2 linked regions of the Macaca mulatta genome follow. The protein of the gene in region 1 binds, or shares a complex with, the protein of each later gene. Links are inferred from orthologs where the notes say so. Each region holds a gene or a part of one and is shown on either strand. Other genes may lie near its edges.

The links.
Region 2: the proteins of LPL (region 1) and GPIHBP1 are in contact, whole or in part, in a crystal structure (PDB 6OAU), measured with the Homo sapiens proteins. The link is inferred for Macaca mulatta from reciprocal best matches to the Homo sapiens genes LPL and GPIHBP1. Residues at the interface, in NP_000228.1 of Homo sapiens: Tyr367, Gly368, Thr369, Ala371, Glu372, Glu374, Leu403, Met404, Lys406, Lys430, Lys440, Ile443, Cys445, Ser446, Arg447, Glu448, Val463, Lys464, Cys465, His466, Asp467, Ser469; in NP_835466.2 of Homo sapiens: Cys68, Lys69, Ser70, Leu92, Ala94, His95, Gly96, Asn97, Thr98, Glu99, Ser100, Leu103, Thr104, Thr105, Ser107, Trp109, Cys110, Thr111, Asp112, Ile117, Lys119, Val121, Glu122, Thr124, Val126, Met128.

The regions. Positions count from the first base shown.
Region 1 is NC_133413.1:21,567,642-21,583,169, forward strand, and holds the start of LPL (lipoprotein lipase), read left to right. Parts: upstream 1-7,774; 5' UTR 7,775-7,994; coding exon 7,995-8,082; intron 8,083-15,528. UniProt on the Homo sapiens protein: Key enzyme in triglyceride metabolism.
Region 2 is NC_133413.1:153,568,131-153,583,791, forward strand, and holds GPIHBP1 (glycosylphosphatidylinositol-anchored high density lipoprotein-binding protein 1 precursor), read left to right. Parts: upstream 1-6,161; coding exon 6,162-6,213; intron 6,214-6,654; coding exon 6,655-6,783; intron 6,784-7,295; coding exon of another isoform or gene 7,296-7,600; exon of another isoform or gene 7,601-7,737; intron 7,738-7,773; coding exon 7,774-7,887; intron 7,888-8,028; coding exon 8,029-8,288; 3' UTR 8,289-8,455; downstream 8,456-15,661.

The sequences.
Region 1 (15,528 bases):
GCTATTAAGTAATAAGTCAACTGGGTTGACCTTCTGAAGCATGAAATGGTCCCAGGAGCATGTCTAGGGTAGAGTGTGTGCAGAAGGCTTGGGATGGCTGTGTAGAGTGTTAGACATGGGTCAATCAAATGCCTGTGTACTGAGAGGTGATTGATGTGTGAAGTCCGAGAGTAGAGCTTTTAGACGTAATTCTGAAGACCAATCTGTGTGCTGATTTTCCTGGACGGTTGTTTGAAAACCAAGGCCAAGCCCAGGCAGATGTTTAGTTCTGAGTGTGATGCTTTTGTTTTCACAACCGTGAAGCCTGCTTGTATGTAATACATTGTGTTATTGTTAGACTACTTAAATATCTCAAACCAAAAATATTAGGACTGGACAACATAAAATAACTTTTTGGATAAAAGAGTACTCTTTGACAGGGATGACAAAATAGATTCATAAAAATTTCATTAAAATGGCAATTAACCTTACATTAAAATATCAGTTGAAGTAAGAGTAAAAAGTCACCTGTGAAATTGTACCAGTTGCTATAACGCATTTAAGTCACATAATAAAAATTAAAATGGTACCATATAATTAACAATGTTTATGACAAAGTAAGCTCAGATCTGAATCTTCTTTTTTGGTTTTGATTTCTTGTATTCTGTTATAAATAGGATCACACTGCTGTGTTCATTTATACATAAACTGCTTTAAAACACAAAGATTTCAATTTATCGTTTTTAATTCTGGCTCTTTTATTTAATTATTTTGTGAAGAAAACTAAAAAATGAGTTCTAAGATCAACTAAATAGCTGGCAGTATATACTGATTTTCACCTTTCAAACTTTTACTTCTTCTTTTATTCAATCACTTACTCACGTAAATGTTTGAGTACATAGTCTGCTATCCAGCTCTATTCTCATTGGTAAGGATACCAGGACTATAAATGAGATTTCATCCCCAACTTCCCCAACTTTGGGAAAGTCACAATTTCATGTAACACACAGACAGTGAATAATATGATATTATAAGTACAACAATCAAGATATGAACACCGCTTTGTAACACAAGGAGATGGTGACTAACTCTCAGAGGGAAACCTAGAAAATTCCATGGAGAAAGAGGTGTTTTGAAGTCTAGCAGTTCCTCAAAGACTCAAACATACAGTTACCTTGTGACTTAGCAAATCTACTCCTGTATACTCCAGAGAACTGCGAACATATTGTCCACATAAAACCTTGTACACAACTGCTCATAGCAGCATTAATCAAATACCCCAAAGCAGAAACAACCCAAACATCTGTCAACTGATAAATGGATAAATAAAATGTGGGATATACAGTGGAATATTATTTGGCAATATAAAGGAATGAAGTACTGATACATGCTTCAACATGGATGAACCTTAAAAATAATACGCTAACTGAAAGCTGGTTATAAGAACCACATACTATATGAATGTATATGTGAAATGTCTAGAATAGGTAATCTATAGAGACAGAAACTAGTCTACAGTTGGATGCAGGGGATGGGGGATTAACTGCTAATGGGTGCAGAGCTTCTTTGGAGGTGATTAAATGGCCTAAAATTTGTGACAGTTGCATATTCCTGTGAATAAACTAAAAACCATTTAATTCTATACTAAGTAGATGAATTGTATATTTAAACTATATCTCAACAGACCTGACTTATATTAAAGTAGTTCATATATGTGAAGCTTTTAGAACAATGCCTGGCACATAGTAAGTGCTATATGAAGGTTAGTTATGATGATGATGATGATGATGATGATATAAAATATAAACTAAAGAAGAGACCACATTACACCTGCAAGATTGTTAAATAGTTCAGCACCACACAGTCATAGCCAGAATGTCTACAATCTCTCATTCTACACTGTAGGTAGAATGTAAATTTGTGCAGTTTCATTGGCAAACAGGTGACTTTACTTATTAGAATAATAAACACTTAGGCTTTTTGACTCAATAATTTTAAAGAATTTATATTTATTGTAGCATGGTTTATATTACAAAAATATCTAAGTAACTATTAATAGGTGTCTGATTAAATAAATGAAGATAAAACCAAATAAGAAAATCTTATGTGGCCCAAAGAAGAAAGAAAAAAAGAACTCTTCCTCAGTGAGCTAATCTCTAAGACATGTTGTTAGGTGAAAAATATAAATTGCAGGCCAGGTGCAGTGGCTGATGCCTGTTATCCCAGCACTTTGGGGGGCCGAGGCGGGTGGATCATGAGGTAAGGAGATAGAGACAATCCTGGCTAACAGGGTGAAACCCCGTCTCTATCCCTAAGAATACAAAAAACTAGCCGGGCGTGGTGGCGGGGGCCTGTAGTCCCAGCTACTTGGGAGGCGGAGCTTGCAGTGAGCCGAGATCATGCCACTGCAGTTCAGCCTGGGCGACAGTACGAGACTCCGTCTTAAAAACAACAACAACAACAACAACTATATATATATCTATATGTGTGTGTATATATATGTGTGTGTGTATATATATATAAATTGCAGAAGACTGCTCATGGTATGCTGACATTACTGTTTACTGTAAAAAATAAGTTGTGTATGTGTGATAAATACATACACATGCACACATTTACAAACACATTTATGCTTGTGTGTTCATAGACTTTTCTGGAAGGGTAAACTTTATAAGAAAGGAAACTAGCAGCATGTGGAGAATGACTAGGGGACTGGAAGTCTTAGATCAGAGAAAGATTTTTGTTTCGTTGTACATAATTTTGCACTGCTTGAAATTTCGATTTTAGTGTTTTTGTTTTTGGTTAACAACAGATTACTTTTTCAACTAAAGAGTTAATTGGAAGAAGAGGCTGAATGAGGTGGCTCACACCTGTAATCCCAGCACTTTGGGAAGATGAGGCAGCAGGATCACTTGAACCCAGGAGTTTGAGACTGCCTAGGCAACATAGGGAGACCTCCATCTATACAAAAATAAAAAAAAAATTTAATGAGCCAGGTGTGGTGGTACACGCTGGTAGTCCCAGCTACTCAGGAGACTGGGGTAGGAGGATTGCCTGAGCCTCGGAGGACTGTCTTGGCTCAGGAGGTAGAGGCTGCAGTGAGCCATGGTTGCACCACTGCACTCCAGCATGGGTGACAGAGCAAGACTTTGTCTCAAATAAATAAATAAATAAGAAGAGAATGATATGCCAGCAAAATTTCCAATCAAATGAAGTTGTCCTCTATTTTTCTAACCCAGATTTGGGCTATGTAAACTTAATTATGTGTCTGTGTATGTATATGTGTGTTTGTGGTTTTGTAATTGTAGTTTCATAATTAATAAATCTAGTGAAAGTTTAAAATAAAAGGAACCCTGCTTTCTCCCCCATTTGACACTGGATCATCTTTTACTCAATGTTGTTAATTCACCCAACAACTATTGGCTAAGAACCTCCTAACTTCCCAGCACCAGTACCTGTTGCGGGAAATACACCAGACATGGAAAGAGCAATACCTCCCTTCAGGCTACTTATGGTTGAACAAAAGAAACAAGAAAGCTCAGATCTGGCCCAGTGCCTCACGCTAGTAATACCAGCGCTTTGGGAGGCTGAGGCAGGTAGATCACTTGAGCCCAAGAGTTCGAGACCAGCCTGGGCACGGCAAGACCCCCATCTCCACTAAAAATACAAAAATTAGCCGGGCATGATGGTGCACACCTGTGGTCCCAGCTACTCGGGAGGCTGAGTTGGGAGAACTGCTGGAGCCTGGGAGTTTCAGGCTGCAGTGAACCCTGGTTGTGCTACTGCACTTCAGCCTGGGTGACAGAGCGAGACTCTGTCTCAAAAAAAGAAAAAGAAAGAAAAAGGAAAAAAAGAAAGCTCAAATAAAAGAGTTTAGAATATATTCATTCATTAAGTCAATTCTTTTTCAAGCCTGTTACAAGGGCTTTTTTGGGACATTACAATATCACCAGGAAGTCAGCAGGGGGCATCTCAAACTCATCTTCTGCTAAATGGGGCTAAGCTCATTTTCAGAGCAGGCCTTTGACATGGGTCTGAAGTTATCTCTGAATGTGAAACCATCAGCAAAAAACATTCATGATGTTCCGTATTCCAATCATTAACTGGGTCTCAAAGTTTTCTTTCATCTACACGGGCTTAAATTTTTAATTTTGTTTGGTTTTGTTTTGTAAAAGGGGGAAACTACTTATAAATGAACATGAATTAGAAATCCAGTGGGTTATTTGTGGGACATTCTTTAGTGTGTGTGAGCTGTCTTCTAGGAAAGATTTGCATCCTGCTCCCCCTTGGTTCCCCAGTTCCTCTGGGACATCATCTGGATAGTGTGCTCTGTTCTTTTTCTTTTATTTTTTATTTTTTTTGAGGCAGGGTCTCACTCTGTAGTACAGGCTGGAGTCCAGTGGTGCGACCTCAGCTCACTGCAACCTCCACCTCCCGGGTTGAAGCAATTCTGGGGCCTCAGACTCCTGAGTAGCTGGGATTACAGGCACCTGCCACCACGCCTGGCTAATTTTTGTATTTGTAGTAGAGACGGGGTTTCACCATGTTGGCGAAGAGAAGTCCCTTCCTGGATGCATTACTGCAATGCACTGGCTTTTAAAAGAATTCTCTCTTTTTAAAAATTATTTTGAAATGTATCTTCTTAATTTTATTCAGACAAATCTTTTAATGCTGATTATATTATTTTTTCCCCTATCCTTACCACATCTCCAGATCCAAGAGCTGCCAGCCTCAACTTCATCCTTCCCTTCAGCAACACATTATCATTTCTGTTCAGAGCCAGTTTGTGCTACAATTTAAGGGACACATGTGAGTAGGTAGTGGTGGCAAAGCCTTTTATGACAATTTTTAGTAAACATCTTTGTTTTTTCTTATTTAAAAAGTCAACAGATTTTAGAATATTTTTTAATATTTATGACTTTGCGTTTATACATTTTATTTGTATCAGTATGTTTTCTTACATTAATTATAATTTTTATAAGGATAAGATCCAACTCAGTACTGATGATCTTTAGAGCCTGCTTACACATTTCATTGTATTTTACTTTAGTAAGAAAGCCACAAAATAAAAATCTACATTAAAATATGTGTGTACAAAAAACTCTGATTCCCAGGCTACTCCTGTTTGCAACTGCTGCAACGTTAAAATATAGCACATGAAATACATTTTTTCCTTCTCTCCTGGGATCGCCAAAGAAAAAACATCTTATGATTTGTGGTTGCTGTTATTTAATCTTCTCTGAGTTTCATCTTCCCTCATCTGTAGAAGGGTAATATTACTGAGTTTGGAGTACTTTTGTAATGATTAAACGCAGGAGAAGATGAAAAGTGCCCAGTGCAATTAGCAGGCCTTCAATCAAAATAAGCTAGCTAGCTAGCTAGCTGGCTGGCTGGCGAAATAATGCTTCCCTACATCCAGAACTTCAAGTTGTTTCATTAAGTATGCACATTAGACTTTTTACTTAGGTCATTTTAAATGTGTCCCAGGGGCAAGTGTCCTGCTACAGGGATACCGTTAGCTTCTTCTCACCTAAAACTTAGTTTGTTATAAAGGAAATGCCAATTATGGAAAAAGTCAAGCCTTTAGCTACTGAAGGCCGAGTAACCTCGCGGAAGTTTGGATGAGTCGCCTCACTAACGCACATGCAATCCTGACCTGGAGATCATGTGAGTTTCTGCGTTAGAAGGCAGGCACCTGATCGCTCCCAGCGCAGCCAATCAGGAGAGAGTGTTGCCGCCACACCCACCTGCTCGGCGCTTGCCCTGGGACAGGAGCCAACCTGGCTTGCTTTTCTTTTTTTTTTTTTTTTAACCAGGCTAAGCTGCTATAAATTAAGTCTTCCTGGAAATCTCTTCAACTCTACTGGACGTGCTAATGGCATAGTTCACTTCAAACTGAATTCATATTTAAATATTATATATCCTCCAACTCTTGAGGGCTTTAATTTTGTTATCTGGTTAGCCCGGGAAATCATTTTAAAAATACGTTATAAGTATAAGACTTTACCTTAGCAATTACATAAAATCTCCTTGCAGTTTTCTGAAAGGCACAGAAGTGCAGTTTAGTTTGGTTGTCTTATCAAAAGACATTTATGCATGAAAATAGGCTGCAGGAGTATTCTATATAAGATAGCAGGCATTTCTGCACGTCTGTTTATATGCCATTCACACCATGAACACATCCAATGCAATTGTACTCATCTTCTGTCATTTTTTAAAATTAGAGTTTACTACATGATTTTTGGAGGACGGCCACATCATAGTTATTCATCCCTTGCATGGTCTGTTCTGCCACTTCTAAAGTTTTGCGAAGTTTAATTTTTGGCAGGTTTCAAGATTCTCTACATACTTTGTAGGATAGAGTGAATGTGCACAGTACATTGTGTAATAATTGCAATACAAGACAGCGTGTTGTGTTGTGGCATGGAATGCGTCAACTTAAAGATAGAACTCTGTTGTGCAGAATACAGACTTTTGAAATATTTGGGTATTATCAACTTTTATTTCATTTTTCGAGAAAAACTTAAAGAGCGAGCCCAGTTTTTAAAAAAGCTTTTCATTGTTCTAACCTACAATTGTACATTGTGTTTGTGCGTGTGTGTGATGGAGGGTGGGATGAGTAAAAGTGGACATTAAAAATATTCAGACTATAAATGTAGTAGATTGGAGGTTCTGATTTGATGAGTCAGTTTCTCAGCCATAAACTGAGAGGGGGTTGGGGATACACTTCATTGTCTTTCCTGGCTAATATAAATCCCTTATATTTAAAAAGATATTTAAAAGTATTCCAAGCATTTTGGCAGAAAAGCACAGTATCCAATTTTTTTTTTCTTATTTTATGTGCATGCCTCTTACCCATTTAAAAATAGCTGTATTGACCTATAATTTACACACTATATAATTCTCCCATTTAAAGTGCACAATTCTATTGCTTTTAGTATATTTACAGAGCTGTGCATCAGCACCATAACGTAATCTAGAACATTGTCATCAACTCCCCCAAAATCTCTCTATTCTTCCCCTCCCCTATTGATTACCCAGCCCCAGGCAACCACTGATCTACTTTTGGTCTCTATAGATTTGTCTCTTTGTGGACACTTTAAATGGAATCATACAATATGTGTCATTTGTGACTATCTTCTTTCACTTATAACTCAATACGGCTTTAGATTATTTGACCTCGATGTTCTGCCTCTGAACACAAAATATTATCCTTGCATTCCTTGATGAGTTTGAGGATTGAGAATAATTTGCATGAGGCAAAAATTAGAAACTAGTTAGAGCAAGTAGGCTTTTCTCCATCACATAAGCTGATCCATCTTGCCAATGTTAAAACACCAGATTGTACGAGCACAAGCTGGGACGCAATGTGTGTCCCTGTATCCCTACATTGACTTTGCGGGGGTGGGGGTGGGTGCGGGGTGAGGGAGGGAGGACTGCAAGTGACAAACAGGATTCATCAAAAGAGAGGTGTATTAAAGTGCCGGCCAAATGTAATTTAACAGCTAAACTGTCCCTCCTTGGAAAACAGGTGATTGTTGAGTATTTAACGTGAATCGATATAAACCTGTGTTTGGTGCTTAGACAGGGGGCCCCGGGGAGAGTGGAAACCCTTAGGCTAAGCGAACAGGAGCCTAACAAAGCAAATTTTTCCGTCTGCCCTTTCCTCCTCTTCTCGTTGGCAGGGTTGATCCTCGTTACTGGTTTGCTCAAACGTTCAGAAGTGAATTTAGGGCCCTCCCCCCAACTTATGATTTTATAGCCAATAGGTGATGAGGTTTATTTGCATATTTCCAGTCACATAAGCAGCCGTGGCGTGAAAACAGTGTCAGACTCGATTCCCTCTCTTCCTCCTCCTCAAGGGAAAGCTGTCCACTTCTAGCTGCCCTGCCCTCCCCTTTAAAGGGCGACTTGCTCAGCGCCGGACCGCGGCTCCAGCCCTCTCCCGCCCCCGGCTCAGCCGGCTCATCAGTCCGTCCGCGCCTTGCAGCTCCTCCAGAGGGACGCGCCCCGAGATGGAGAGCAAAGCCCTGCTCCTGCTGGCCCTGGCCGTGTGGCTCCAGAGTCTGACCGCCTCCCGCGGAGGGGTGGCCGCCGCCGACCGTAAGTTTTGCACGCAGACTCCCCTCCAACTGCAAACCCGGCGGGTGGCCACTTGCCATCCGAACTGAGGATATGAAAAAGTAAGTTGGAAGGGGCTGTGATGCGCCCGGGGACTCTCCCAGCCTGGGCACTAGCCCGAAAGGGTCCCTGCAGTGGGATCCAAGAGGGGCCGGGAGGGAATCTCCTCCCGATGGTGAAGCGGCGGCGCCCGGTTCCCGCTTTTTCTCTCTCCCGGGTTCCCGCGCTGTCCCTTCCACTCTGGCTGGGACCGCGTTCCCAGGCGCGCGGGCTCCGCCGGAGAGGTTCGGGGATGTGGGGGGCGGGACAGCGGAGGCGGGGAGTAAGGGCCCGGCTGGCGGTGACCTGTAGTCACCTCCCTGCTGGAGGGGCCCCGGAATGAAAGGCGCACGGGCCAAGGTGACCTCGGCTTGGCTGGGACTGCGGCTCAGCCCCCGCCTGGGGACGCGCGGGCCGACAGGGGCCCCTTCTGGGGAAGCCGAGGCGCGGGAGGCGTTCCGGGAATCTCAGCCGCACGGGGCACGCTCGCCCTCGCTCCGCTGTGGGAGTGGCAGTGGGTTTGAGGGTGTAGAAGGAACGCGTGGCGCGGAGTCCTGGGGACGCGGAGTCCTGGGGACGCGGCGTCCTGCCCGCTATAGCGCGCCCGGGACTCTCTCCAGCTTCCAGGCTCACATGCCGTCTTTACTTAGTGCCCTGAGAACCCAGTGAGGGGCTGACCCTCCCGAAAACGTGGCGCAGCCATCAGCAATCTGTGGCCGCCGACTCGGGGGTTGCCAGGTTTGCACTTGGCCACCCTTCCTGTCCTGGGGGCTGAGGCCAGCTCCGGGCGCCCGGCCCCGCCGCGCGGCTGCGAGCACTTGGGGTTGCCGGGCGCTGCGGGCACAACCTTGGTCATTGCAGCCAGGGAACCGCCCGCTCGCTAGGGTCCAGGCGTTCGGGTCCAGATGAGAATGTCTCGACCTGTCCGCAATGGAGGCAGTCTGCTTAATTCAAAACTCGATTCAGTTAACATGCAACAGCAATATAGAGAGCAGCTGAAGCCATTCATAACACGGGCCAACATTTCCTCTTTTCTTCCTTGCTGGAATTGCAATTAGGGCGGTGTCGCTTGGATGTGCTCTCAGGCGGCACGTCCACGGCGGTTCAAGTTATGATGGAGTCTGTCTATGGCTTGGATTGCCACTGAACGTTTGTTTTATTTTGGCATTAATTTGTGAAACATTTTTGTTAGGTTAAAAAAAAAAAAAAGTTGGCAGGGAGCAGTGGCTCACCCATGTAGTCCCAGCACTTTGGGAGGCCGAGGCCGGAACATAGCTTGAGCCCAGAAGTTCGAGACCAGCCTGGGCAACATAGGGGAACACCGTTTCTATTTAAAAAAAAAAATACAAAAATTAGCCGGGCATGGTGGCCTGTGCCTGTGGTCCCAGCTAGTCAGCAGGCTGAGGAGAGATCACTTGAGCCAGGGGGTTCCAGGAGGCTGCAGTGGGCTGTGATTGTCCCACTGTACTTCATCCTGGGTGACAGTCTCTCTCACACACACACACACAAACGCTAAGTATAGATTCCATCAAAGCAAAATTGGATTTAAAAAAAAAGTATCTTTTCTATTGGATCAGTTTGAAAACACTGGAGACTCGATGAGAACGTCTTCAACATCTTAGGTGGGGTATGTTTCCCTTTGTACTGCTTAACTGGATGAAGCCAATGTTCTCTGAGGCCGGTGTAACTCTTGACTCTTTAAGTGGACACTTATGTGATTAATTAGTTTATTGAGTTGTAGCCAACACATGCTTTTCTAGGCTGTAAATATATTAAGGAAGGATTATTTCAAAGTAGACTTGAAACGACTGCCTCTCATCCCCTCCACTTTCACTCTATTCACCCAATATATAATGCCTCTCTCATCACAGAAACTTTCTCCCTCTTTCTCCCCCAGATGCATTCATCTAGGAAGGTAAGAATTTCAGGGAGAGAAAGATGTTAGTGTGGTAGAAAGAGAGGCAGCACCTCCTCTGGGCTCTTGAGTTTACTTATTCATTCTGGATTCTTTCTAAGAATATGAGAACAAGAGGCACTGCCCTCAGGCACTTTGTCCTGGGAGCCACCACCATTTCTGCATGGTCCCAGTTAGGAAATGTGAAGAGCTAGGAGAGGGAGAGTATGGTCAGTGCTTAGCAGCTGAAGTTCTGCTTGCCTGGCCATCATGAATTTCCAGGCTATCTTCCGAGTTGAACATGATGGCAAAGGAGAGCAAAACAGCAGATGTCACTGGAGGAGAGCTCAGTGAGGGAATGATTAATAGCTGTATTAAAAGGTGGGAGTCAGGTACGGGGGAAGAGCTGTGATGGAAAATTTTCTTTCTTTCAGCAGCTTATTTTTAACTCAGCTCTCTATTCTTGCTTTATTATGGAGGAAAAACCAGGCCATACAGTTTACTGCCTTATGCCAGATGGTTCAAGAAAGTGCCTTGCAACTTACAACATTTTGCAGCTAGTTTCTTCTGTGGCCACCACAAAGACCGCACTGACTTAAATATGAAGATGTTCCAGCCATCAAAGTGATGGCTGGTGATGATTTTCGATCACAAAGTGTAAGGAAAGTATTCAAGACACGAGTATCATACACATAAGGTAAATTCCAACTTTTATGCCAATAAAAACAACAAAAACACTTATCAGTGTAAAGCTTGGGATCATTTATCCATTAAATGAGTTTGTCACCACAGTGAACTAAATACCATTTATCAACAGAGACTTTCTAACCTGGGAGTAAAATCTTTGTCACAGTGCTTTTGTCACATTCTGTTTTTGGAAAAGTTGAAGGCTCCATTAGCTCCTGAAGGACTAATAGGATAGGGTTCCAATTTAGAGGCTAAGAGTTTGAAATTTACTCTGAACAATGTCTGTTCATTAGACTGCATGACTGCACTTTGCCGTCTTGTGGCCATTTTAAGATTGTCTGTGTGCACTGACACCCTTTGAGTGCTCAACAATAGGTATCTACTATGAAGGAAGGAATGGATTACCTTGGGTGATATATATATATATATATATATATTTCATATATATATATATGAAAGTTCTGCTGGAAGTGAGCCTGTCAAACTTGTGCCAGTTCATTCCTTTTGCTCTTCCTAGTCTGTGCTCTCAGAATGATCAGATGCTATCTAAGCAGTGTGGTGATTTTGACTGTTTGATTGAATGAAAGAAAATGTCTCCCACCATTATTTGACAGTAGAATAGAACAAAGATGACCCAATTGGGGTGGCCACACTTTGTCTAATCCAGCCACCTTGCTCACAGCACTCAACCCACTTTGGTGTGTGTGCTCATCTGTGTTTTCATACATGTTGAAGTCTCTTTCTATGCAGTCAGGTAGGGGTAATACCATTCTGGCTTGGATTAATTTGAGTGTAGTACAAAGTTTAGAGAAGCTTTTAAGTAGCATGAAAAGTCAGATGCTTTTGGAGGGATCGTGGTAAATGTAGGTAAATGGATTTGCATTTAGAGCCTCAACAGCCCTTCATTCAAGATACAGCTATCATGACATCAATAATGTACCTTTGAAAAAAAATTGGCTGCAGAATTAATTATGGTGAAGAATAGTATAGGAGTTAGCACTTACATTTTAACTAAAAAGAATAGCATCCCCATGTTTATGCAGCCTTCCCCCCAATAAAACAATTGTTGGCAAAGTAATCATGGACCTTCATTGTGTTAGTTTCAGACAACTAGATGTTTCCATTTGCCATCCTCAGCAACAAGAAGAAAGTCGTCTCAGATTAATCATGTAAACATTTTGTATTTCACTTAAAAAAAAATCTTGACTTAAATATGCCCATGTGATGACACTCAACCAAATTATTTCATTAACCAGTCCACAAGATCCCTTTAAATAATGATGGCTTATTATACTTGATGGTCTAATTCAGTGGGGAAATTTTAACACACATCTCTGAACCTATTTTTTAACCCCTCTTTTCAGTAGTGTGGAAGGTTACCCCTAATACTGGAGAAAATTCAGGGTAAAATTCAGGTGATACATATAGGATTTATTTTTACTATTCCATTAATAAAACAATTTTTATAAAAATAAAAAGTAGGCTGGCACAGTGGCTCATGCCTGTAATCCCAGCACTTTGGGAGGCTGAGGTGGGTGGATCATGAGGTCAGGAGTTCAAGACCAGCATGGACAGGATGGTGAAACCCCATCTCTACTAAAAATACCAAAAATAGCCAGACGTGGTGGTAAGCGCCTTTAATCTCAGCTACTTGGGAGGCTGAGGCAGAGAATGGCTTGAATCCAGGAGGCAAAGTTTGCAGTGAGCCAAGGTCACGCCACTGCACTCCAGCCTGGGCGACAGAGCAAGACTCCGTCTCAAAAAATAGTAATAAAATAAAATGAAATAAAGCTGCTTGTTAGATAAGTCAAGAGCATTGTTTAAATTGGAATATCTGAGCAGACCAATCAATTCAGTCTGATCATGATATTGATGTTTTTCTTCACCAAATCGACCACATCAGTAATTCAGTTTGTTCTTCAACAAACACTGCCTGAGTCGATAACTATGACTATCAGTCTCAGAGAGCAAATGAATTACTAAGGAAGTTCTGTAGGAATGAGAGAAAAGGGGAGAGAGAGAGAAAGGGGTGGGGAGATAAAGGGAGAATAGAAATTCCAAAGAGAATTGCATTCTCACTGAGTTCTTGTACCTCATGTCATTGCATAAATGTTCATGTCACTCATGTGATGACTTTGATCTGCCTTTAAAGCATCATCTGTTGCTTTCCTGGGATGCTCAATGCTTCCCTCTTTCTAGCAACAAGAATTCCCGCTCTTCCCCTCTATACATTTATCTTTCTCTACGTGCTTTAACTTCTCAGCCTAATTTTGTCTCTGTGAGTTATTATCTATGTTAGAATAAATTCTTCGTCTTTGTTTACACACTCAGATTTGTAGCTACTTATTTAGGAGTTTAGGAATAAAGATTCCATAGTCAGGAAAGGCATAACTTGTAACTTCCGTGTTACCCAAAACTCTCCCCTAAGTGCTTAATATGGACATTTCTGATGAGACCTGATTGGCAGGTAGTACAGAGATGCTAAGTTAAATTCAGGATGGAGGCCTGCCTTTCCTTCCCTCCTTCCTTCCCTCCTTCCTTCCCTCCTTCCCTTCCCGCTTCCCTTCCCACTTCGCTTCCTGCTTCCCTTCCCTTCCTCCTGTACTCCTCTTCTTTCTCAATTCTAAGGTGGCCTTAATTTCTAAGGGACATGGTAAAAGACAGTCTAGTTAGATGAGTGCAGTCACTTATATTATTTCCATGTATGGAAACTAATAGTTTCTTTATTAACAGCTCCATCAAATCAGTCCACCTGCTGCCCAATAGCAATCACAGGATGCACTGGAACAACCAAATATACTGACTTCCCCACAGCCAGGGTCCATCGTCCTACCCATCGCTACATGGTCTAAGTCAGTTACTAGAGAGCTGATTGAAGTTTGGGAAGCACATTAATCTTTAGGACACTGAGACATCCTCGGGGGGTTGCAAACACAGGTAGTGTGAAAATTATCAGAACATCCAAGAAAAGGAAAGTTTGACTAAGTGCCAATAAAATTTACTATTTCATATCTGACATAGAATTGAAACCATCACATAGCACACAGAGTGGCACTATTTTCCTGTCAAATGAAAATCATTTGCTTTAAAAGTAAAATGAAAGTCTCTAAATACAAATTAACTAGAGGATGTGTAAATTTCCTACTTTTCATTACATGTTCTGGACGCAACAGAGGGAAACTGGAGCTGTCAGTGAGCCATACATGCAATCTGGTACAGTATCTATGGATTGAATAGACCTTTTTTTTTTTTTTTTTTCACGGAACTACACAAAGCCAGTCTTGGTTATTTCAAAGAAAATTTGTGGTCATTTCAAAACCACCAGCAATTCCAGGGACACCAAATTGCATAATTCGAGGGGAAAGTGGACTAAAAGTGAATGGCAGCCTCTGGAGTTGTACTGAGCAATATTCTTAAAATATCAATTTGGCAAATAGGTGGTAAGCTAGATCTGTCTGCCAGGTTGTTCAGATCATCTCTGCTTTAAAAAGATTGATAATAGAATATGTTAAAATAAGACTAGTGGAGAGGAGATATGAGCTATTTAAGGTGGAAAGATGTGGGAGAAGGTGAAATTAACTTAGTTTTAAATTTTCTAAAGCACTTTTTAACAGGAAAAAAAGTTCTTAGGCACTGAAAGCAGAATTAGATCAAAAGTATTCAATACTCTTTTCCATTATCAGATAAATAGTAAAGCTAACAAAGTGCTCTCTGGTTGGGAAGGAAGAAGGCGACCAACATCTTCAAATAAAGATGAGAGGGAGAGCATATTCTTGGTGGATGGATGGATTCATGTGCAGTTTTACTATATGCAAATGAAAAGAGCTTTAAAGACCAATAGTTTAGCATAGATTCTTATTTGAATAAATGATCTTGGAGTGTTTACTCATTGTGACAAAACTCCTTTTCTCATAATTAGAATCATTAAGAAATTTCTCCTACATTTTAGATGACGGAGGTGTATGTGCACGTGTATGTGTACGTGTGTGTGATCAACTCATTGCATATTTCTTAAACCACAATATTGTTTAAGGAATTTTAGAAAATAATTACTCAATAAGAAAATGTTGGCCAATTGTAGATAATTAGATAAGGCTGACTCAAATGCCTGTACTTTCTTTTTATTACCATTATTATTATACTTTAAGTTATAGGGTACATGTACACAACATGCAGGTTTGTTACATATGTATACATGTGCCATATTGGTGTGCTGCACCCATTAAATCGTCATTTACATTATACCTCCTAATGCTATCCCTAATATCTCCTAATGCTATCCCTCCTCCGTCCCCCGACCCCATGACAGGCCCCGGTGTGTGATGTTCCCTGCCCTGTGTCCAAGTGTTCTCAATGTTCAATTCCCACCTATGAGTGAGAACATGCGGTGTTTGGTTTTCTGTCCTTGTGATAGTTTGCTCAGAATGGCAGTTTCCAGCTTCAACCATGTCCCTACAAAGGTCATGAACTCATCCTTCTTTATGGCTGCATAGTATTCCATGGTGTATATGTGCCACATTTTCTTAATCCAGTCTATCATTGATGGGCATTTGGGTTGGTTCCAAGTCTTTGCTATTGTGAATAGTGCTGCAAGAACATACGTGTGCATGTGTCTTTATAGCAGCATGATTTATAATCCTTTGGGTATATACCCAGTAATAGGATGGCTGGGTCAAATGGTATTTCTAGTTCTAGATCCTTGAGGAATCACCACACTGTCTTCCACAATGGTTGAATTAGTTTACAGTCCCACCAACAGTGTAAAAGTGTTCCTATTTCTCCACATCCTCTCCAACACCTGTTGTTTC
Region 2 (15,661 bases), about 130 Mb from region 1:
CCATCCCGCTCTGTGTGATTTGCCTCCCAGCACCTCTCTTTGTGAGATCCCATCCCGCACTGCTGTGAGAGCTCAAGAAGGGCTTACAGCCCGGGCTTCTGCAGCCACAGACTCTGGCTGGGACATGAGGGCTGCGTCCTGGGGCTAAACACAGAGCTTCATAAGTCAGGCTGGAGAAGAGGGGCGGGGGCTGGGCAGGTCGGGGAGGGGGCTTAGACTGAGCCCGACAGTGGGGAGGAACGGGGGGCTGCTGGTGGCCACTGCCATTCCTGGAGGGCTGGGTGAGGCTGGGGGCTAGGGCTCTCCATCCACCCCCCACCCAAGCCCACTCACGAACAGGAGCTCAGGTGATCCTGCCACCCCTGCTGGGCCCTCACCCCTGCTCCTTACTTCCCCCTCTGGGGGCTCATCCTAAAGCACGCAGGACAGAGCAGTACACAGGAGCTTTCAAGCCTCAAGTGGAGCAGCCCGGGCTTTGACTCCCAGACCCCCATTCCCTCCGGGTCGTTGTGAGCCAGAATAGAACAGGCATCAGATGACGGCTGTGGGCAGTCAGGGGGGGTGTCCTGTGGCACAGGGGCAGCATCTCTCCCAGGCTGGGGGTACAAGGGGCTGATGTGCACACTCCTGTCCTGGGCCCCCAGGCTGCCTCTGCAGTGTGGCTGTCCGGGACCCACCGTGTCTCCTTGGAAGGCCGAGGCTCTGAGGTTCGGTGCCATTTCCAGCAGGTGGCTTGCCAGGCAACCCCGCACAAATAGGCATCCCACCCTGAGGCTCTCTGCATCCTGGTCCTCGAGCTTGGGGCCTCTCCTCACCCACCTCACACCCCAGATTCAGTTGGATCCAAAGGATCGACCATGAGAAGCCATCGCGGTGGCCAGGGAGGCCCCGCGTCCCCATAGTAACCAGAGCCACCTCAACACTTTGTGGAGGTGGTCAGCTGCCCATCACCGCCTGCGGGCAGAGGGAGGCCCCACCCAAGACCACCTCCCGTGGCCTCCTCCCTCCCCTTCTCCCTACTTCCCCCACCTAACCTCCTCTCCTCTCCCCTGCCCCTCCGGTGGGGCCACTGTGGAAGACACTGTCAGTTCTGCCTGCCAGGAGTCCGAGCGGGACATCCCAGTGGTGTGGTCCTGACGTGCAGAGGCTGCCAGGAGGCCCTGTGCCCCCCCCCAAGGCTGGGGGTCCACGCTATAGCCTGGGAGGGGCTCCTGCCTGCCCTGGGCTGCACCTGTCTGGCTTCCCTGGTAGCTGCTCTCCCTCCACACGCCCTCTCCCTGCCGCTGTGGGTGAGTGCCTGCCGCTCACCCGCCCACACACAGATCCCACCCTGAGCTCAGCCATCAGCTTCCTGCCTTCCAGGGACTGCGGGGCCCCAGGCCTCTCATTCGCAGGCCTCTGCTGGGTGGTAGGGCCGGCGGGGGTCAGTTTGAGCAGAAGACAGGGCCCTGCACATCAGTGGCCAAACGTGGACCTTGACAGAAGGCGAGCCCAGTGGGCAGTCCCCACATGAACACACAGCAGCGGGCACAGATCCTGCCTTCTCCTGTTCCTGCAGAAAGCAGTGTGCCGGGACACTCAGTCCTCCGCTTCCTCCGCTTCCTGTTTTCTGATCAGGATGTAAAGAGCTTCTTCACTGTCATACAGCTGCAAAGTATCCCTGCATCGTTATTTTTAGTCTCTTTTAATATTGTGAAATTGCTACATTGTTTTTAACATTTTTAACAATCTCAGTGTGAAGGAAATTGATTTCTAAATGGATAAAATAAATGATAGGAACAATGTATTCCTTGCTCTTGCATTTTTCCAAGACGGGGACCCAGTACGGCCATGGGGGGATGTTAAAGCCAAGCCTTGAATCCCTCTGAGGGCACCGAGCTAGAGGTGGGTACAGGAGTGCCGTTGTGGGGAAAGGTCTCTGGAGAGGATGGTGCCTGGGCCCTGCCTCTGGAAATTGAAGATGGGCAGGAGGAGGAGCTTGAAGGACCACCTGAAGCTTTGCCAAGAGGAGCTAGACAGAGATCAGTCGCCCTCACAAGTGGGGGACAAGAGGGACCCCCTTGGAAGAGCAAGGGAAGGGAGACTCTCCAGGGTTATGGTGGTGGGGCTGAGGGTGTCTAACGACTAGGAAATTGAGCACAGAGGGTTGCAGGTGCAGAGCAGCGTGGAGGGGAGCTGGGAGGCCAGGGAGGGTACCTGAGTGAACCACATGTGAACAAGTTAATGAACAAGCTTCTGGACCAGGGTGTGTTTGCCTCTTGGGTTCTAGGGGTGCCTGGGAGCTGCAGGACCCATGGGAGCTGCTCCCCCTGGCCGGCCCACCCACCCACAGCTACCTCTGAATGCTGGATTCCGGGAAAGAAAAAGGGCTTGTACCTCAGTGCACATAATGGGCAGCCTGCTCCGCCTGGCACTGAGGGGTCATCAGAATCAGAGAGTGTCGGGCACAGTGACTCATGCCTGTAATCCCTGCACTTTGGGAGGCTGAGGTGGGTGGAGCACCTGAGGTCAGGAGTTTGAGACCAGCCTGGCCAACATGGTGAACTCCTGTCTCTACTGAAAATACAAACATTAGCTGGGCATGATGATGCGAGCCTGTAATCCCAGCTACTTGGGAGGCTGAAGCAGGAGAATCACTGGAACCCGGGACGTGGAAGTTACAGTGAGCCAAGATCGCGCCATTGCACTCCAGCCTGGGTGACAGAGTAAGATTCTGTCTCAACAAAAGAAATAAATAAATAAAAATAAGCAGAGAGTAACCCCAGGGGAGGAGAGTCTGGACTCTGCTCTCAAAACAAGTCCCTCCCTCTGCCAGACTCAGGTTCAGTGAGACAGGAGTAGGCTGGCTGCAGAGAGGGTGGGAAGGAACTCAGAGCAGGGAAAGTGTGGCAAGGGCCAGCACATCTGCAGCCCTCATCTGCCCCAAAAGGCCCTACTCTCCCGGCATGGACACCGTACACGTGCCCCTCAGTCAGAAACATTTGCCCACCCTTCCTTATAGAAAAACTCTGCTCACCCCTCAGGCCCAGCCCCAAGGTGCCCTCCTCCCAACGCCTCCCTCATTCCAAACCCAATCTCACGGAAGGCTGCCTCCTGGAGACGGCAGTGCACGGGTCTGGATCTGACTCCAGCTGGTGTCAACACGGGGGAGGGGGTACAGAGTAGGAGTGCAGGCCCAGGACAGGGCCACACAGCCCCCCCAGGACAGCAGAGCCCATGGCCCCACCTGGGCATGATGCCAGCACAGACCCTGCCCGCCGAGCCCCACATGTCACCCAGGCAGGAGGGAGTGTGGATGGCTGGGCATCCCCTGTCCACAACCAGCACCAAGCTCTGAGCCCAAGGCTGCTGCTGCCAAAAAGAGCCATGTGACTCATGCAGGCCCCACCCTGGGAGGAGGCCCAGAGAGCCGCTGTGTCAGAAGGGCCAGCCCCATGAGCCAGCAGAGCAGGCAGGTCCAGGCCCCAAGGCACAGAGGTCTATGGGCAGGGAGCTGGGGTGACCGGGCTGCCCTTCAAGGGTACCTTGGGGTGTGGGCATGGCTCAGGGCCTGGAAAGGTGGTCGAGCCCAGGGGCACAGGTGCAGGCTCTAAAATGACCCATGGCAGCTGCCATCAGGACCAGCAGCCCTTAGCCCTGGCACTGGGGGACCACAGCAGTGCCCTGAAGGTCTTAGGGGTCATATTTTCACCTGGAGCGTCTGAGAGGTCATGATGCTGCCCTGGGGGCTTGAGGGAGGCTGTGCAGTGCCTGGGTGGGATGAGGGGGTTGGCTTCACATACAGAGCCCGCCACGCCCACCTGCGACTGTGGGCAGTGCTGGGGAACCAGGTGTCTGCCACTGCGGGTCCCCCTTCACACCTGCGCACCATCCCGGGGGGGGGCACCTTCTGTAGGGGCTGGACCAGACCCACTAGCCTTTCCGGGGTGGGACAGAGGGAACAGCCTCTCAGCTGCCAGCACTAAATTTAACTCAATCTGCGAATCAAATGCGCGCTGATTGTCCCCAGGTGATTCTCGCAATAAGCACTGGCCTGGGTTGGGCAGTTTGCACCAGGGCTGAAGAGGCGCTGGGCCTAGAGGTAGGCAATGTGCAAGGGCCTGGGCCCCTGCGGAGGGGAGGTGGCAGGTGGAGACCCCCCAGAGAAACCCAGTAGTGCCCTTCCTAGGAGCAGCTCCTGCAGCACTAGATTCAAGAGCCTGTAGTGGCAGCCAGGGCGGGGTGTGGGGGAGGTAGGGCGCCAGGGAAGCTGGGCACCAGGGAAGCTGGGCACCAGGGAAGCAGGGCACCAGGGATGCAGGGCACCAGGGAAGCGGGTCAATGGGTAGGCGGGGCTTGGGGGAGGAGGGGTGAAGGGGTGATGGGAGGCAGTGCAAGGAGGAGGTGGGGCACAGGAGAGGTGGGTCGACAGGGAGGTGGGACGCTGGGGAGGGGGGCGAATGGGAGGCGGGGCGATGGGGAGGTGGGGTGTGGAGGAGGTGGGGCGACAGGGAGGTGGGGCAGTGGGGCAGGTGGGGCAGTGTGGGAGGTGGGGCGTGGGGTAAACAGGGTGTGGAGGAGGTGGGGCACCAGGGAAGCGGGGCGATGGGAGGTGAGGTGTGGGAGAGGCAGGGCGATGGGAAGGCAGGGCGTGGGGGAGGCAGGGCGTGGGGGAGGCAGGGCGAGGGCGCAGGGAGGCGGGTGGGGGTGGGGCCACACCGGGAGGGGCAGGGAGGGGCAGGGCTGGGGGGACAAGCACCACGTATGAAGAGTTTGGGGCTGGCGGGGCATGTCCAGCTGTGGCATGAGCACCGCTATGGGAGACCCTGGCTTGGAAAGTGACTTTGCAGCCTTGGACAGGGAAGGGCTGGATGCTGGGTGGGTGCTGATAGAGAAGAATGGAAGAATGACAGGTTCAGGTGAATTAAGGAGGGATGGTTGACTCAGTGGCTGAGACATCAGAGACAGATATTCCCAGCCTCAGGCGCTGTCCTAAGCCCAGCAGGTACTGACCCTTGATGGTCACCTCACCCTATGAGGGAGCTGAGGCCTGGGGAACCCCAGGGGCTCGTCCAGGACCCAGAGCCAGGGGAAGGAGGAACCGGGTCTTAAACCCAGGCAGCTCACTCCAGAACCAACTCAACCTCTGTTACAGGTGGCCGACCAGAAAGCCCCACCCCACCCATTGACAGTCGGGGAAACTGAGGCCTCAGTAGGTGAAGGGCCTGACCCAAGCGCCAAGGCACACAGACGCCCAGGCTTGACCCTGGCTCCAGACTCCCATCCAGCCCCTGCCGCTGCCCCACCCCTCTGCTACCCTCAGGAGACTCTGCCCTCTGCATCCCACCCCCAGGGGCTTGGGCAGGGGCTTGGGAGGAGAGGGTGGCCTCAGGGAGGGACCTGGGCTTTCCAAGCCTCTCCCAGAGCAGCCTCTCTCTCACACAAGGCCAGAAGGCAGGTGGGGGCTGATGGCTTTCCCAGCAGAAGGCCAAGGGTTGGGCCCCCAACAGCTCCGGAAAGCTCTCCACTGGACACCAGCAGGAACAGCACTGCAGACGGAACAGCAGGGGCAAAGACCCGAGGTGATAGTGGGGAGGCCTTGGGCCCGGCAAGTGCACTGCTGAGTGTGGGTGAGGAGGAGGTGAGCACACAGCCTTAGCTTGAGGGCACTGACTGTGTTTTTATTTAAATGCTCTTAAAGGGGCCTGGGTGTGATGCTGACTCTGGAATGAAGATGCTTGGCCAGTGATCAGCAAATAGAGGGTCTGTGACCCCAAGCTCCTGTGACTATGGAGCCCAGACATGGGGTTAGGGGGTGTCAGGCATGGCCCAATCCGGGGCAAGGCTCCCTGCCCTGCACTACAGGGCTGAGGCACTGAGCAGCAAGGCAGGCCAGGGCCAGCAGCTCCTGTGGCCAGCACCGCCTTCCAACCGCTGGCACAGGTGCACGGGACGCTCCAAGGCCAACCACAATGACTTCTCCTTCCCCTCCAGCCCCAGAGGTCCTGGAGGGAAACAACAGTCCCTGGCCTGGCGCCTGGAGCTGGGACCCATGTGAGGCCCATTGTTTGAGGCTGGAGCTGGTGGGGGCCACTGGGAAGCCCACGGCAATGCCCTTCATCCCACTTATTGCAGCTCCAGAGTGCTGCGCGAGGAGTCGGGGACGTAGCAGCGTCGGCGAAATGAAGGTGCTCAGGGCTCTCCTGCTTGCCCTTTTGCTGTGCGGACAGCCAGGTGCGGGGCAAAGGGTAACCCTGCGGTGAGGGGCCAGTGAGTGCAGTCCTGGAGCACGGGGACCTCCAGGGAACCCCAGGAGGGGCTTAGGAAGAAGGAGGGGATGAGGCCGGAGTCCCCAGCCCAGAGCAGTGTGGATGGAAGCTGGTCTGGGATCCCAAGAGTCCCCAAACATCTGTGCTCCTGTTTATGTGGGGTGCGGGGAGGGGCTACCATAAAGGGCCAGCCCACAGCAGCTGCTGTTGTAACTAGTGTGCCAGGGCATACTCGGCTGCAGGACAGTGAGCAGGGTGTGCAGGGGCAGGAGGCCACACCAGGTAGGCTGCCCTGGGGCCTGAGGGTGGCAGGGGAGGGCCAAGGAGTTGGGGGTGTGATGCTTGCCCAGAGCAGGTGTCCTCCATACTGGGTAGCTGAGGCTTACAAGCATCCCTGCACGGCCAGGAAGAGGGCAAGCACAGCAGGAGGAAGAGGACGAGGATGAGGACCACAGGCTAGATGACGACGACGAGGAAGATGAGGACGAGGTGGAAGAGGAGGAGACCAACAGGCTCCCTGGTGGCAGGGGCAGAGGTATGGCTGCCCCAACCCCAGGGCCCCGTTGCCTGCTCTGCCTGGAGCACTCTGGGCGGGGCTGTGCGATGGAAGCCAACAGGCCACAGTCCCGCTGTGAGCTTGCCTCCAGCAGAGTGGGGGACACTCAGTGCACCCCTCACTTCTTCCACTCACCATGACACCCAGTTCCAGAGTAGGGAACAGGGGAAGAAGCCACCAGCTGGGAGGGTCAGTGGTGCCAGGATGTAGAGGTTAAACAGGAGTTCACCTGGCAGAGAAGGGCTCAGTAGGGGCCCAGGGTGGAGACAGCAAGCACAGAGGCCACAGGGTAGGGTTCAGTTTTGTGGGGCAGAGAGAGCAGCAGGGTGGGCCGGTCCTGTGCAGGGGAGAGATGGATTGGCTGCTGCAGGCAGGGGAACCAGGGAAGCGCTTAGAGCAGAGCAGAGTGGGGCTAATAAGAGCCCACCACCCCCCCCCCGTCCAACACACCCCTACACGCTGGGCCACCCTCTGCTCTCTCCCATCCCCAGAACAAAGCAGAGCTAATCGCCGCATCCAACCTTCAAGCCGACCACTCCCTAGCCAGGGCGTCCAGCGTGCCCACCACACACAGCCCACCCCTACTCCCAGGGCCCCCAGGCCTGCCCTCAGCACAAGCCCTGCCCCACACACCCACAAGGTGTCCCCTGTGAGGCCCGGTGCTCCCAGAGGCAGGACTGAGTCAGACTCGCCTCCAGGTTTCCATGCCCACAGCAGGAGCCTGGGCAGCACTGTCACAGGAGGTGAGCGACGATGGGAAGTTCGCCCTGCCTGGGCCGCAATCCCTTGCCCCTAAACACACAGGCTCACGCACACAGCACGGCTTACAGGGCCGAGTCAGGGGTGGCCCGCCCGTCTGAGCAGTGGGTGCTGGAGGCTCACCAGGCTAGGCTTTGGGAGCACAACTGAGAATGGGGAGGTGGATAGGGACATGGACCCGGCCTGGGCCTGAGCCCACCTTGTCCACAGTGCTGCTGTGGTGCTATACCTGCCAGTCCCTGTCCAGGGACGAGCACTGCAACCTGACGCGGAGCTGCTCACATGGCCAGGCCTGCACAACCCTCATTGCCCACGGGAACACCGGTAAGTTGGCGTGGGGCCGCAGCACACGCAGCACACGCACCCCCAGGTGGCGGGAAAGCCAGGGGCCCTGAACAGAGCCCTGTAGAGCCACCTCGGAGGCCCCGCCCATCCTCAGCATCTGTTCCCCACTCCCCTCCCCAGAGTCAGGCCTCCTGACCACCCACTCTGCATGGTGTACAGACAACTGCCAGCCCATCACCAAGACGGTCGAGGGGACCCAGGTGACCACAACCTGCTGCCAGTTCAACCTGTGCAATGTCCCACCCTGGCAGAGCTCCCGAGTCCAGGACCCACCAGGCAAGGGGGCAGGCGGCCCCCGGGGCAGCTGCGAAACTGCAGGCACAGCCCTCCTGCTCAACCTCCTCGCTGGCCTTGGAGCAATGGGGGCCGGGAGACCCTGACCCACAGCCCCTCCCCACCCCGACCCAACTCACCCCTCGCCCTGCCAGCACTCTGTCTGGTACCTTCCCCTCCTGCCCCTGCACCAGCTTTGGAGAATGAATTTGGAGTGTCTTGGGCAATCCAGCCAGCACAGCCCCGCCGGCCCGGTTGCTTCCTCAGTTCCCGGCTTTGCCCTTGGTTTCCTCTCCCCACCGCCTGTGAGTGGCAGGACTGCAGCACGTGGGCGCTGGGTCCAGACCTTGGCCACCATGCCCCAGGGCCTGCAACCCTCATGGGGGTTGGGGATCCCCACCAGCACAGCTAGGCAGAGATGATACCCACCACATGCCTGGGGGCCCCCACACCCAATCCTCACCCTTAACTTCTGCCACAGGAATTCCTCCATCTGCAGCGGTCACACCGGCCCGCCCTGCCTTTCCCCAGGTCAGCCTCCCGGCTGTCTGGAGGGAAGAGGCCTTGGAGGGAGGCTATAGTCACCCCTAGGAAAGACGGGCCTGGGGGAGGCAGGATAGTAGGGGAGGCGGGCTGAGGATGAGAGGGCACAGGGAGGCGGGTCGGGGTGAGGCCACACGCGGAGGGGCAGTGCGGGGCTGGGGGGACAGGCACCAAGTATGGAGAGGATGGGGCCAGCGGAGCCTGTCTGGCTATGGCATGAGCACCGCCATGGGAGACCCTGGCTTGGAAAGTTACCTTGCAGCCTTGGATGGGGAAGGGCCGGATGCTGGGTGGGTGCCTGTCACCTTGAAGTGACCATTAAGGGTCAGTACCTACTGGGCTTAGGACAGCACCTGAGGCTGGGAATACCTGTCTCTGCTCTAGCAGAGGCTGGAGCAGGCTAGAGCAGTGGAGGAGTGGAGTTGATGAAAGGAGAGAAGTAGATGAGATGAAATTTTTCCAGCCTCATCCTTGCCTGCCCTCTAGACTCCAGCCCCCAGGCCCTCAGCCTGGTGGGTGTCATGGAGGAGTCTGGGGGTGTCAGACAGGCTACCCTGTGCTAGGGAGGGGGCAAAATGGGCCTTCAGCTTCCTGCAGAAGCAGCAGGACTGGGTAGCAGAGCCGGGAAGGTGGGCGGCTCATTATGGGGGGGGGGTCCCCAGGGTCCTCTGGCAGGGCTGGTGACTGCTCCAAGTCCTGGCTTCACCAGCAGCTGGTGCCAGGACAGAGCTCTGGGACAGCAGGCAGAGGCCCAGCCTGGGCCACAGCTCAGCCACTGACTTGGGTATCAGTTTCCCCTTCTGAGAAGTACAGTGAGACTTAAAGAACCCCTAATCCCCACCAGTTCAACACTCCATGAACCAGGACTCCATGAACCGGGAAGGCCAGAGTCCTGTCCTGCCTGCCGAGCTCATCCCGGCGGGCAGTGGGAGGCCTCCGCTAACTGTTCTCTCCTTTTCCTTAGTAAGAAAACCCACAATGCCTAGCTGGGGGTCGGAAGGTAAATGCCCTAGATGGTGAGGTCACGTCTTTCTCCTTCCCCTTCCTCCTTCCTGCTGGCTGAAGTGGTGACTGGAGCTCAGCAACCACTTTGCACCATGAGGCAGCACTGAGCACGGCAGGGCAGCGTGATGAGAGGGGCCTGGCTTGCTACTGACAGAAGGCACTGCCTACCTCGGGGTGCCCTTACCTGGGAGGGAAATAAATGTCTGCTGTGTTGAAGCTAGTTATTTGGGCTGTCTGTTACTTGCGTTTTCACACTCACACATGCACACGTGTGCACACGAACACTCATGCCTACAGCCCACTGGAGCACAGTGCAGGGGTCAGGCTGCCTGCTTCGAATCTAAGGCCCAGCCCTCCCCAGCTCCACGACCCTGGCAACCCCTTCACCTCCCACTTGGCTCTGTTCAGCAGGAGTCCTAGGAGAGCCCTCCTTGTGGGCTACAGTGAGGATTCTCCAGAGTGCTGGAATGCCATGTGTCAGGGCTTACAGCCCCGTGCCTGGCAGAGAGCAAGTGCTCAGTAAATGGGAGTTGTGGTCATCAGAACACTTCTCATGACCCCACTCTTCACTTGCCATCTGTGTGTGTGAACATAGTACATGCCCCACCTGAGCCAGCCCCAGACCCTCATAATCCAAAGACCTAACACCACTCCTAGCACCACCTGCAACACCACCTCCACCACCACCACATTCAATACCACCCAAACACCACCCCAACACCACCACCTACACCACCCCCAACACCACTGCCAACACCACCCCCAACACCACCCCCACACCACCCCCAGCAGCCCACAGAGGGCTTTCTCCTGGCGCCCACTCCGGCTCTGAGCAGGAGCAGAGGGTACTGTGCTTAGCTGTCTAGGGTGGGCCCTGTCACAGCCCGCTGAGGTAGGAACAACATGAGGCTCGAGCTCAAGGTCACACAGCTCGGCGATGCAGATCCAAGGTGCAGTCCCTGGGCTTCCTGCCAACCTCACCCAGCTTCCCAGGGGTGTCCCAGGCTCCAGGACGCCTGAGCTGGGGAGGAGCTGGATGCCAGCCAAGAGCCAGCCAGATTCCCAGGCCAAGTCGAGTCTGAGCCAGGTGGGTCAGCAGTGCCAACGGGCGGATGGCCACAGCCAAGACATCCTGGGCCCCATCTCAGAGCCCAACGCATGCTGTCAGTCCCAAGAGTGAACATAGAGGGACCTCCCTTTCTCATCCAGCCCGGGCAGCAGGGAGACTGGGGGCTGGGGGCGCTGGGCAGGGAGGGGGCAGGGCCAGAACCTACGTCCCTCTGTACCAGTTTCCCAAGGCTGCCGTAACAAATCACCACAAACCTAGTGACTTAACACAAGTTCATGCTGCAGCTCTAGAGGTCAGAAGTTCAAGTCAGGGCTCTGGCTGGGCTGTGTTTGCTCTGGAGAGAACCCACCCCTCACCCTCGTAGCTTCAAGAGGCCGCCTGCTCTCCTTGGCTCATGGCCCTTTCTCCACCTTTGAAGCCTCTCCAAACACTGCTCCCTTCTCAAGTCAGCTCTTCCTCGGCCTCCTTCCTACAGGGATCCTGTGACCACAGTTAGGACTCGCCTGGAGAATCCTGAGCCATCTCCCATCTCAGATCCTCTGCTTCCTCATGGCTGCAAAGTCCCTTTTGCCATAGAAGACATATTCACAGGCTTGAGGATCTGAACGTGGGTGTGTCAGGGACCTTTCCTGAGCCCACATCAGCCCCTCCCTGGACATCTGCCCCGAGCCTGGCTGTGCTCTGGAAGCCACGGTCCTGGGGAGGAGAAAGCCAGGCTCCCTGGCTCGACGGGGCCACAGTCCCAGGAAGGGGGCCTTGCCAGGACCCTGGTGACCATGTAGCAGGACGAGCCGCAGACAAAACTACTCAGACACTGGATTAAAGAAGGAAGAGGTTTTTTATTCGGCCGGGAGCATCGGCAGACTCGCGTCTTAAGAGCTGAGCTCCCTGAAAAAGAAATTCTTGGCCTTTTTAAAGGCTTACAACTTTAAGGGGTCCACGTAAAAGAGTCGTGATAAATCAAGCAAGCGTGGGAAACGTGACTGGGGGCTACATGCATCAGCTAACAGAACAAAAAGTTTTACAATGCTTTTTTCATACAGTGTCTGGCATTTATAGATAACACAAGTAGTTTTGGTCAGGGGTTGATGTTATTATTATTACTTTTTTCAACTCCTAGGGCCGGGTGGTGGTGCCAAGGTTGTCTGGCTATTTATTTTACTTTTGTTTCTTTCTTTTTGCTTTCTCTCTTTCCTCCTGTCTTGTGAACTAGGCAAGGTGAGGGGAGGAGGGCAGCAGGAGTAGTAGTGGTCTCCTTCCTTAGCCACAGTCCAGAAGTCGGTACCACAGCGGTCTCTTCCTGCCCCAGAAGAATTCAGGACCCTTTGCCCGTGCTCATCACGAGAAGCCAGGCAGAGGCTTGTTCCCACTCTGCCTCTCCCACACCCCTTGGGTCTGCCCACACCCAGGTCTCCTCGCCATCAAAACTGACCAAGACCAGGGTGCAGTGCCTGACTCAACGCATGGGACAAACCCTAACCACGCCTCCCTCTCCCGGGAGCTCTGGCCACTCCCACATAAGGACACACAAGGATACAAGGGGCGTCTGACACCCCGGGACCGGGCCCCCAACCTCTGCCAGCCATTCGGGGACAGGTGGACTCAGATACGTGGGTAGGGGAGACCCGGGTGCGGCAGAGCTGAGGGAGTGCAAGAGAGACCGTGAGAGCAGGACTCTGCCTAGCACCCTGGGGATCCTCCCCAGAACCCACCAGATCCATCCCTTTCCTCCTCCTTAGGGACTGGGGCTTGCAGGCACTGCTCCAGCACCCACTCTTTGAGGGATGGAGCCAGCGTTGCCTTGGAAACGGGCATCTAGGAGTGGAGTTCATTCCTAACACGCTCAGCTTTTTGTCTCTTAATTCATTGGACTTAATAGTGGCGTCTATGCAGGGGAGGAGCAGGTGAGGAGGCGGCTGGAGAAGCTCGCCTCGGAGGCCAACCCTCCCTCAGCCCTGCCTCTGCTCCTGGCGATCCTCTGAGCCCAGGATCCGGTGGTTCAGTGGTGTCCCCAGCAGGCTCTGAAATGCACTGCAAGTCACACCACACCCTGGGCAAAAGCCAGCTCCCCCTTCCCCTTCTCTCCCCTCTGGGCTCTGAAGGCCCGGCCAGCCTCCCCTGCAGCCCTGAGTTGCAGCCACTGCCCTGCCTTGACCCTGCAGCGCCTCAGGCTCCTGCCCCCTGCCTCAGGCTAGGGAGCCCAGGAACCCAGGGAAAGGGAGCCCTGACACCCCGCCACACCTCTCCCGGAAAGCTCTCACAGCTTCTAACTCCCGGGGCCTTGGCTCCAGACCACTGCTCCAGGAAACACAAACTCCACCTCCACGTGAAGAAACCCAGCGTCTGAGAAACAAGATGAAGGCCAAGGGGGCGAAACCTCGGCTGGATATCATCCTACCAAAGGCGAGGTGGTGTCCTCCCTCCCGGGCCCTCAGCCCTTCCTGGAGCTCCAGGGCCTGCAGGGGCCACCAGCACTCCGCGTGGTAGGGGAAGCCTCTCTGCACCCCAGCCGGTCAGCCCGAGGTCTGGATCCGGTCCCGGTGCTTTCGGCAGCGAGAACAGGAACCGAAAACCATGTCATTGCAGCTTGTTTGCTCCCATAAAGAGAACCGTGGAGGCGGGTGGCTGCGGGCACCCCGAACCAGCCAGGGATGAGTGAGCGGGGCCTGGTTGTGCCTGTCAGGGAGACCCTGCTTAACCCGCAGGGAGTCCGGGAGCACTGCCCTTCATGTTCACCCGTGGTGGCCCTAGAATTGCACCATCAACCAGGGTCTGCTTCTGGCAAAAGGGCCCGGGGGTCTCTGCAATCAGACCACACACCGCAGGCCACAGCTAGCGCCCCACCCCCTCCACCAGCCCTGCCCTGGCCTCGAGCCACCAAGAGCCACCAAGAGCCAGTCCTCCTGAGCCTAGGGCGACCCAAGGAGCTGCCGACCTCTGCACCCAGCCTCTGTCCCCTGCTCCCGCCTCTCCCCAACCCTGGGCTCTGCCCTCTGCTCCAAGCCCCTCTCCTGGGCCTCTGTTTCCCCCGTCCCCAGCCCCGACCCCCACCCTGGACCTCTTCCCCACAACCCTGGGCCTCTGTGCCCCCCTTCAGCCTCTGTCCCCTGCCCCTGGCCTGGGTCCCCATGGGGCCTCCGTCGTGTTCTCTGTGCAGCATCCATGGGGGTTCCCCAGCGGCCATTGCCTGAGCACTTTGGCAGCTCCCAGTGGCAGCCACGCCTTCCAGGTCCTTCGGGAGAAGGCCCTGCAGCTCTCCGCCGTGCTCTGCGTGCGCGTCACCATCTGTTCAGCAAGTCTCTGGTGTTCCTGGCCACATGAAGGCGTCACAGCCCTTCCAACCAGAGCGACTCCGTCTTGAGTAGGGGCTGGGTGAAATGAGGCTGAGACCAGCTGGGTTTTGGGACCTTAGGTGTTCGGTCACCAGATATTACAGTTAAGGGAGCAAATGAATAATGTTTACCAACAAGACCCAGGAAATAACGTCCTGATGTCCAGTATCTTCGGAACAGAAGAATTCTTAGTTTAAGAATGAGTTTCAGGCCGGGCGCGGTGGCTCAAGCCTGTAATCCCAGCACTTTGGGAGGCCGAGACGGGCGGATCACGAGTTCAGGAGATCGAGACCATCCTGGCTAACACGGTGAAACCCCGTCTCTACTAAAATACAAAAAAAAAGCCGGGCGCGGTGGCTCACGCCTGTAATCCCAGCACTTTGGGAGGCCGAGACGGGCGGATCACGAGTTCAGGAGATCGAGACCATCCTGGCTAACACGGTGAAACCCCGTCTCTACTAAAATACAAAAAAAAAGCCGGGCGTGGTGGCTCACGCCTGTAATCCCAGCACTTTGGGAGGCCAAGACGGGCGGATCACAAGGTCAGGAGATCGAGACCACGGTGAAACCCCGTCTCTACTAAAAATACAAAAAATTAGCCGGGCGCGGTTGTGGGCGCCTGTGGTCCCAGCTACTCGGGAGGCTGAGGCAGGAGAATGGCGTGAACCCAGGAGGCAGAGGTTGCAGTGAGCCGAGATCGCGCCACTGCACGCCAGCCTGGGCGACAGAGCAAGACTCCGCCTCAAAAAAAAAAAAAAAAAAATTAGCCGGGCGAGGTGGCGGGCGCCTGTACTCCCAGCTACTCGGGAGGCTGAGGCAGGAGAATGGCGTGAACCCGGGAGGCGGAGCTTGCAGTGAGCTGAGATCCGGCCATTGCACTCCAGCCTGGGCGACAGAGCTAGACTCCGTCTCAAAAAAAAAAAAAAAAAAAAAAAAAAAAAGAATGAGTTTCACTTTGAAGATAATAATATAGATTCTTGCTAGACAGGAGTTACACAAAGATAAACAATCTTTTGTCAGGAGCCCTGGCAGCGGAGCAATCTCCCCCATGGTTTTTTGGGTTTCTCGTCTCATATATAAACTCTCACTATACCTGAGGTGGGCACCTTCCTCCTCTTGCTTTCAGGAGTGCCCTCTCTGTCTACAGAGTAGCCATCGTTTTATTCCTTTACTTTCTTAATAAACTTGCTTTCTGTGGATTCGACCTGAATTCTTTCTTGCACAAGATCCAAGAACCCTCCCTTAGGATCTAGACTGGGACCCCTTTGTGGTAACTAAGGTAACTGGCAAACCAGCCTAGAACCTGGAAACCCGGGGACCCAGGAGCCCCAGTGGTCAGGCCCTTCCTTTTCCTTGAGGCTCTGGGGGTGCCCCTCAGGGCAGGCGCCAGCATCCTCACTCCTTCAGGATCCACGGAGTCGGCTTTCCCTGGAACCTGCCCCATATTTGTGCCAGTAACTAGACTGTGACCGGAAATCCCCTACCCTGAGCTGGAGCTGCCTCTTGTAAGCCACAAAGTGTCTGAGATGGG